Linked DNA regions of Macaca mulatta. Each later gene encodes a partner of the first gene's protein in a complex. Links are inferred from orthologs where the notes say so. Each region holds a gene or a part of one and is shown on either strand. Other genes may lie near its edges.

The links.
Region 2: the proteins of NTRK2 (region 1) and NTF4 are in contact, whole or in part, in a crystal structure (PDB 1HCF), measured with the Homo sapiens proteins. The link is inferred for Macaca mulatta from reciprocal best matches to the Homo sapiens genes NTRK2 and NTF4. Residues at the interface, in NP_001018074.1 of Homo sapiens: Phe291, Glu293, Thr296, Ser297, Asp298, His299, Cys302, Pro304, Thr306, His335, Val336, His343, Gly344, Cys345, Asn350, Thr352, His353, Met379, Gly380, Trp381, Pro382, Gly383; in NP_001382418.1 of Homo sapiens: Gly81, Val82, Ser83, Glu84, Thr85, Ala86, Ser89, Arg90, Arg91, Gly92, Glu93, Leu94, Ala95, Asp98, Ala99, Ser101, Gly102, Trp103, Thr105, Tyr135, Phe137.

The regions. Positions count from the first base shown.
Region 1 is NC_133420.1:115,658,664-115,662,470, reverse strand, and holds part of NTRK2 (BDNF/NT-3 growth factors receptor precursor), read right to left. Parts: intron 936-3,807; coding exon 799-935; intron 256-798; coding exon 123-255; intron 1-122. UniProt on the Homo sapiens protein: Receptor tyrosine kinase involved in the development and the maturation of the central and the peripheral nervous systems through regulation of neuron survival, proliferation, migration, differentiation, and synapse formation and plasticity.
Region 2 is NC_133424.1:61,511,267-61,515,735, reverse strand, and holds the start of NTF4 (neurotrophin-4 precursor), read left to right. Parts: upstream 1-1,587; 5' UTR 1,588-1,691; intron 1,692-1,823; exon of another isoform or gene 1,824-1,992; intron 1,993-2,030; exon of another isoform or gene 2,031-2,106; intron 2,107-2,296; exon of another isoform or gene 2,297-2,569; 5' UTR 2,570-2,712; exon of another isoform or gene 2,713-3,002; 5' UTR 3,003-3,126; exon of another isoform or gene 3,127-3,249; intron 3,250-4,469. UniProt on the Homo sapiens protein: Target-derived survival factor for peripheral sensory sympathetic neurons. May promote ameloblast differentiation and subsequent reduction in proliferation of ameloblasts.

The DNA.
Region 1 (3,807 bases):
AGAGGCTGATAATGCTTCTTAATTGAGTATGCACAAAACACTGCATATACTGTCCCAGCAACAAACGTAGGTATGTCCGTGATCATTTGCTATTAAAAGCACATGCCAGTCTGATTACGTACAATGCACAGTGAGGTTGACAGAATCTTGATCTTCTCCTACAAGATTTTCTGCCACACAAGAGATTTGCTTCCCACTGTCATCAGATGAAATGTTAGTTATCCTTAAGGAGCCCTGTGTGTGGCTTGTTTCATTCTACAAACGAATTAACAGACAAAAATAACCTTGATTAGGATTGATCCCAAAGTGACAAGATTTGGGGTTTCTTCCCCTAACTAGAGAAAAAAACAAATATATAAATATAATATAATATAATATAATATATAGCATTAGAAAAACTTCTCTGCCTGAAATAGGCTCAGGCAAAGAAGTAAATCAGAAGTTATTCTATTTCTCTAGGTTTCAGTTGCTAAGTGCATGAGGTTGACTTGATCCCTGAATTCCCTCCAAGGGAGAAGACCACAGGGAAAGTCACTCGCTTTGTTCAGGATGATGCAAAGAGCTCACTAGGGATATAAAGACTCCTTGCTCTCTTAGGTATGCATAACTAAAATGCAAGCCTGCATTAGTCTTTGTTAATTAAGAATAAGTAGAAAGTAAATGTACATCAAAAACTCTTTGTAAATTTCTATATGTAGCCCTATAAAATATCAAATGATCATCACTAGGTTTAATACATTCTCACATTCTGAAACACTCTTGTCTCTCTATTAAGACACAGCCAAACACAAGCCTTACCATATGTTTGGAAACCAGATTACCAACATCCCAATACATATTAGGAACCGGATCGCCTGCCACACTACAGGATAACGTGATAGACTTTCCTTCCTCCACAGTGAGGTTAGGTGCGGCCAAATTTGCAGATGGTAAACCTATGGAACAAGAAAAGTAAACAGAGGCATATGCAAATAGTTAAATGCAGTATCAAACTAAAAGCAATAAATTGAAAACTGTTTATGCTTTAAAAATCAATCTTTAATTGCTTTTTGAGACTGATTTATGTTGATCTGAAAAAGTGCCACTTTGATCAGCTTCATAGATTTAACATAAATCAAAAAAAGCTATAAGTAGATTTCAAAATAAATTATGCACATTTCTTATAGCATTAATGCCTAATAACCTTTTATTTTAAGAACACTAGTATAAAGAACTGTCTTCCACCTCTTTTTCTGTTCTACAGTTACTAATCCAGTTTTTGCACATAAACAGAGATTGTACCTATGGACTGACATCATGTCTTTTATTTCCTTCTGTCTCCTACCCCCTATTTTTTTTTAATGCTCAAGAACACAAAAGGGTGAGATGCAGCTATGTTGTTTTTGCAAAAATCTGTTTTTTGCTTTAAGTAACTCTCACAAATGTAACCCTCTACCAGACACAGATTTTGAAAGACTCATTCTATTGAAGAAAATGTAGTTTCAAAGCATTTTTCAAAGACAGGCAGTTTGAACTATTAGTGTTAGAATGTTTCAAAGTTACGTAAATCGTAGTTGAATATTATAGGTAAAACTGCTATCTTATTTAGAATATAATGAAAATGGGTATATGGACTCATTTCAGTGAAAAGTTCTTTTTATTGGAAAGACTCTGAGAATGTACTTATCAGATGAAACTTTGAACCTTATAAACATTTTTTAATAGTGCAGCAAGGCATCATTTTTATATTTTTATATTTCAAAAGCTATGTGTAATTTTAGGGATGCTGCTATCACTTCATGAAATTATCACACCAACTGAGTGTGGACACCGCTTTAAACTGCATAAGAATCATGGTATTTTTTACACGTAGGCATATCTTAGAGGGTATAACAATATGTCAGGACCTGCTAGTGGAGGCTGTCCCTCTCTTGGTGTCAGGAACTCTGCTTGGGACTGTAGTCACCTGACAGTTATATCCTGCAGAACTATGATACAGCATTAAGTCAGATCAGAACCTGGAGGTCAAAGAAGGCGATTCATTTTCAACAACTGTTAAATTGCAATTAACCCACCCACCTGGCAATATTTGACCCGTCATCTTCACATTATTATGGATAAACCCTTCTCTTATCATGTATTCCTACTGGCAAAGCCATCTTTCTTTATTAGTGAAATCAGACTGGAATAAGATTTATACAGTCTGTATCTCATGGTTTTCCCACCACTGGGAGAGGATTCCCCAATAAGATCTGGCTTTCAGGGGCTAGTGAGACCCCCTTCCAAACTCTTCCTTCCCGTGAGCATCCAATAGAGACCAATGTTACATCTTTCGTGGGGTTTCAAGAAAAAAAAAAAAAGCCCCTAATAGCCAGAGTTATACAGAGCAATGAAATATATAACAATGATTAACAGAGAGTGTAATACAAGCCCCACACCCTAAACCTGGCACATACTAACTTTGTGGCCTTGGATGAGTCTGTTGTTTTTCTCAATGTGTTTTCTTCACAACTTCTATGACAATTAAGCTGTTCAATTTATTAGGGAGCGTGTCAAGGCAAAATAGAAGAAATGGGCTTACTTAGTGAAAAATCCCCTTGAAGTCAATGGCATAATCTGGGTGACTTTTAAAAATATGTATATACTTAATTTTGTTTTTCAAAAATCAAATATTTAATCACATAGTTTGAAGAGTTGATAATTCTATAAAACTTATGAAAAAGATTCAAGCTACTGTGTGTGAAAAACAGTAGTCCCACCTTACCCATGTGGCACTATTTCCTATTCCCAGAGGCACCCATTTCATCTCCTTTAACTTCTTCTTTGGGCATTGCTCTGCTCATCACTAAGCATTACTCTTTATTGCTACTTCTTGGTTTTCCTGTTTCAGCAGTATCTGCTGACCTCCCACTGTGGAAGATGAGATAGGGGCTCCCTTTCACACAGAATGACAGCTCTCCTCAGGCCCCCACCACATTCAACATACTCTGTCTTCACACTTTTTCATGTGCTATAATTGTCTCAGTGGAGACATAAAGATGATTACGAGTATGTGGCCAGGTACAGCTCATGCCTGTAATCCCAGTACTTTGGGAGGCTGAGGCAGTTGGATCACGAGGTCAGGAGATCGAGACCAGCTTAACCAACATAGTGAAACCCCATCTCTACTAAAAAATACAAAAAATTAGCCGTGTGTATGGTGGCAGGCACCTGTAATCCTAGCTAATGGGGAGGCTGAGGCAGGAGAATCGCTTGAACCCGGGAGGCGGAGCTTGCAGTGAGCCAAGCTCGTGCCATTGCACTCCAGTCTGGGCAGCAGTGCAAGACTCCATCTCAAAAAAAAAAAAAAAATTATTATGAGTATGCAAGCCTTACTAACACCAGAACCATCTAATATGCAATACTTACTTTATTTCACCAAATTTAAAACAGTATTAATTACAGGTTGCAACATTGCTATTATGTACCACTATGAAAGGAAAAAAATGTGCCAATATAACTATAACACATGCTTTCTTACCACTTAGAACTATTGCTTGGAGGTTGGACCTTATAGATAGCCCATTTAATTCTCCATTCCTTTCCTATTTTCCAACTTTTGATTTATTTGCTCTATTTGCAGGGAGAGTTTTTTAGATTAATTTTTAAAGCCTGCTTTTAAGGTTGTTCATTCCTCTATCATATTTTTTATTCCCAAGGCTCTTCTTTTGTTCCTGAATGTTCTTATTTTATAGCACCTTCTTCTTGTTCCATGGATGCAATATCTCTTACGATTTCTATGATATATTTATAATCATTTCTTGAATTTTTCTTTTCTCTATATCAGTT
Region 2 (4,469 bases), on another chromosome or scaffold:
GAGACTGTGACCCAGTGAGGGTAGACAGATATCCAGAGAAGAAAACTGGGACCCAGAAAGTGGGCGGTGGGGGGGAACAGGCACCTGGGGGGGGAACAGAGACCACAGAGAAGGGGGCCAGAGATCCAGAGAGAGAGGGGGCCAGAGACTCAGAGAGAGGGGGGGACAGAGACCCAGAGAGAAAAGGACAGACCCAGAGTTGGAGGGAGACAGAAATCCAGAGACAGGAGGACAGAGATCCAGACAGGGAGAGGACAGAGACTGTTTCTCAGTCACTCTGTTTGGAAACCTCATCCCTACTATCCCCTCCAGGACTAGAAGCTAGAAGCTAGAGTCTAGAGTCCTCCTGCTATGGGGCAGGATGTATTGGGTGTTTAGGAACAGGGAAATGTGGAGAAGCCAGAGAGGTGACCCGAACACACACCCAAAGCCTGGGAAGTGGCCCTTCCCCCCACCAATAAATAACTGTGAGGAGCAGGAAACACCCTAACCGGGGACACCCTCCTGCCACCTTGCCATGCTATATTTAGGCTGAGGGGGTGTGGGATGACCCCTGAGGCAGGTGTCAATTTTCCTTCTGAAAATAGCACAGGCAGAGGGAGGCAGAGTCTCAGGGTGGAGGTGTGGTGGGGTGAGGAGCCCGGCTGCCCTCATGACTGTCCTGAGACGCTCTAGCTCCGATCCCATCCCTGTCTTTCTGAGGGTCTCTCAGGGGCTCTGTCCCCTTCTCCGGAGGGTCTGCCCTCAGTCTCTCTGGGCCTCTGTCTTCTCTCTGGGCTTCTGCCCTCCCCCACTCTCTCTAGTCTTGATCCCCCTCTTTCTTTTGGTCTCTCCCCACTTTTCCATGCCTTCATCTGTCACCGCGCACCATTTCTGGAAGGAGCTGATTGTTCTTAAGACACATCTGTCTATCTCTGGGTCCTATAATACCTTGCATGTCTCTTATCTGAGCTCAGGACAAGACCCTCTCCCCGGTCCCCATCCAGGAAATTCCAGGGGAGAGGAGTATGCGGGAGCCCCCACATCCACTGTCTCCCCGGGCCTGGGGCCTTATCACTGCCCAAGCCCAGCTGGTTAATGTCTGGCGTGGAGCTCCTGGGAAGTGGGGAGGAGAGCAGAGAGTGGGAATCTGCCCCGGGATTGACACGCAATTGGCAAAAGACGGCAAAGGAATCTCAGGCCCAGACTCCTGGGGCTAATGGAGGAGGAGGCTGGGGGCTGGACTCCTGAGTCTGAGACGGGGCGGGGTTGGGAGGTGGTGGGGGGAACTGTGGGCTTAGTACTCAGGCGCCTGGGGCTCGGGGGAGAAGTGGCTGGGGTCGCAAGTCCCGGGTCTGAGGGAGGAGGGGCTGGATGCCTGGACTCCTGGGTCTGAGGGAGGAGGGGCTGGGGACCTGGACTACTAGGTCTAAAGGAGGAGGCAGCTGGAGACTGGGACTCCTGTGACCAATGCGGCCGGGTTGAACGAGCCAGGCCTGGCTTCCAAGGTCCCGGCACGCCTGTACAAGGCAGGATCCCCCGGCCCCTCCTCTGCCGTCCGGCGCCGCCCCGCCCCCGCCCCCGACCCGGGCCCTGCCGAGAGTGAGCAGCGAGCAGCCGGCGGGCCAGCGAGCGTCCCTGCAGCCAGCGAGCAGGAGGAGGAGCTGCTGCTGGGCCGAGGGCAGCTGGGGGAGCCGAAGAGGGCGCCCCAGGTAAGAGCTCCGCGCCTCCTCCCCCGGGATTCCGGCGTCCTGGTCGCCCTGCCCTCGGGTGGGGAGGGACGGGGGCGGGGCCGACGGGGGCGGGGCTTGGCTGAGGAAACTGAGGCAGGAGGGAAGTGTCCCAGATACGCAGCCGGTTTCCCCTGAGGGGTCTCAGGAGTCCAGACCCCCCACCCAAATCTGGAGGATGAGGAACCCGGAGTCTGCATTTCTTAGTACCCGAGAAGGAGGAGCCTGAATTCCAGAACTCCTGGGTCTGAGGGAGGAGGGCGCTGGGAGCCTGGATTCCTGGGTCTGAGGGAGAAGGGTGCTGGGGGCCTGGACTCCTAGGTCTGAGGGAGAAGGGTGCTGGGGGCATGGACTCCTGGGTCTGAAGGAGGAGGGCGCTGGGGGCCTGGACTCCTAGGTCTGAGGGAGAAGGGTGCTGGGGGCATGGACTCCTGGGTCTGAGGGAGGAGGGCGCTGGGGGCATGGACTCCTGGGTCTGAGGGAGAAGGGTGCTGGGGGCATGGACTCCTGGGTCTGAGGGAGGAGGGCGCTGGGGGCCTGGACTCCTGGGTCTGAGGGAGGAGGGCGCTGGGGGCCTGGACTCCTAGGTCTGAGGGAGAAGGGTGCTGGGGGCCTGGTCCTGGACTCCTCCTGGGTCTGAGGGAGAAGGGTGCTGGGGGCCTGGTCCTGGACTCCTCCTGGGTCTGAGGGAGAAGGGTGCTGGGGGCCTGGATTCCTCCTGGGTCTGAGGGAGGAGGGCGCTGGGGATCTGAACTCCTGGGTCTGAAGGTGGAGGCCCTGGGGTGTGAAGGAGAAGGCAGTCCTGGTTGGGTCAGCCTGGGCTCCTTTCACTCTCCACCCTTCCCCTTTCCTGTACGGAGGAGCCAGGGCAGGCAGTCACTCCAGGTATGTGCAGAAGTCTTGGGCGGGCCCTGGCCTGTCCTGTGAGGAGGGAACATTCCAGGAAGCAGCTTGGGGAACCAGGGCTTCTTGAGTGTGGGCCCTCAGGGACCCAGGTGTCCAGGTCAGTTCCGCCCCCTCTGGGAGATGAATGGGCCGAGGGGGATGTCATCTCTTCCAGCCTGCTTCATCCACTGCCTCTCCCTTCCCCTCTTCTCCCCTCCCCTCCCTCCATCTGCTTCCCATCCCAGCCAGGAGCCATCACCTGGGTAGAAAAGGGGCCTCTGGAAAGGGGGCGGGGCCTTGACTCTTGGGTACCCTGAACTTCAAGAGGAACTCTGGGGAGGGGGTGTTCAGGGATTTGACCCCTCCCCCACTTGCCTCTATAACCTGTCTATTCCTTTCTTCCCCTAGGTGGTTGCCCCCTCCCTCTCCTGAGATGTCAGGAAGGAGGGGGCCACCTGTGTCCTCCACAGGGGCCCCCCGAAGCCTGGGGACTCCCAGCCCCAGAGCTCCGAGGTGGAGGAGGTGCTGACAGGTCTGGTAACCACTGACTGTTTCCCAGTCTTCTCCACACCACCCTTTCCCAGAACCACAGGCTTCCAGAATGTTGTAGAGAAACTGCAACATCCAAGCCTCCACCAGCCTCTCCCAGCGCCAGGTCAATTTCACACACGGGAAAACTGACGCCTGTCTCAGAGGGGCAGCGTTTTCCCTCCTTAGTGGCAGTTTTGAGGTGCAATGGGGTCTCCCTAGGATTCCAGGTTGTGGCCTTTCTCCAAATTGTGGAATGTGGCCAGGCATGGTGGCTTGAGTCTGTAGTCCCGGCTACTCAGGAGCCACAGCAGGAGGATTGCTTGAGCCCAGGAGTTCAAGTGCAGCGGGGAAATATAGCGAGACCTGGTCTTAAAACAATTTGTGGCCGGGCGCGGTGGCTCACGCCTGTAATCCCAGCACTTTGGGAGGCCGAGGCGGGAGGATCACGAGATCAGGAGATCGAGACCATCTTGGCTAACATGGTGAAACCCCATCTCTACTAAAAAAATTACACAAAAAATTAGCCGGGCGTGGTGGCGGGCATCTGTAGTCCCAGCTACTCGGAAGGCTGAGGCAGGAGAATGGCGTGAACCCGGGAGGCGGAGCTTGCAGTGAGCCGAGATCGCGCCACTGCACTCCAGCCTGGGTGACAGAGCGAGACTCCGTCTCAAAAAAAAAAAAAACAAACAAACAATTTGTTTGGGACCAGGTGCCATGGCTCATGCCTGTAATCCCAGCACTTGGGGAGGCCAGAGTAGGAGTATCACTTGAGGTTGGGAGTTCAAGACCACTCTGACCAACATGGCGAAACCCCATCTCTACTAAAAATACAAAAATTAGCTGAAAAACTGTGGCAGGCACTTTTAATCCCACCTACTCAAAAGGCTGAGGCAGGAGGAGAATCCCTTGAATCCAGGAGGCAGACATTACTGTAAGCCATGATTGAGCCACTGCACTCCAGCCCTGCCAACAGAGTGAGACCCTGTCTAAAAACAAAAAAAAAAATTGTTTTGAACATCCTCCAAGATTCAAGACTCTCGGTTCCTCAGAGTTGTACAGGAAGGATGGCAGAATGCAGTTGCCCAGAGTTTAAGTCCTATCTCTGCCATTTGCTGGCTGCCTGACCAGACAGAAATCATTAACTTCTCTGAGCCTGTATTTCAACATTTGTTGCTATTAAGTAATAGTAGTTGAATTTATTTTATTATTTTTTTTTTCTTTTTTTTTTTTGAGACGGAGTCTCGCTCTATCGCCCAGGCTGGAGTGCAGTGGTGCAATCACGGCTCACTGCAAGCTTCGCCTCCTGGGTTCACGCCATTCTCCTGCCTCAGCTTCCCAAGTAGC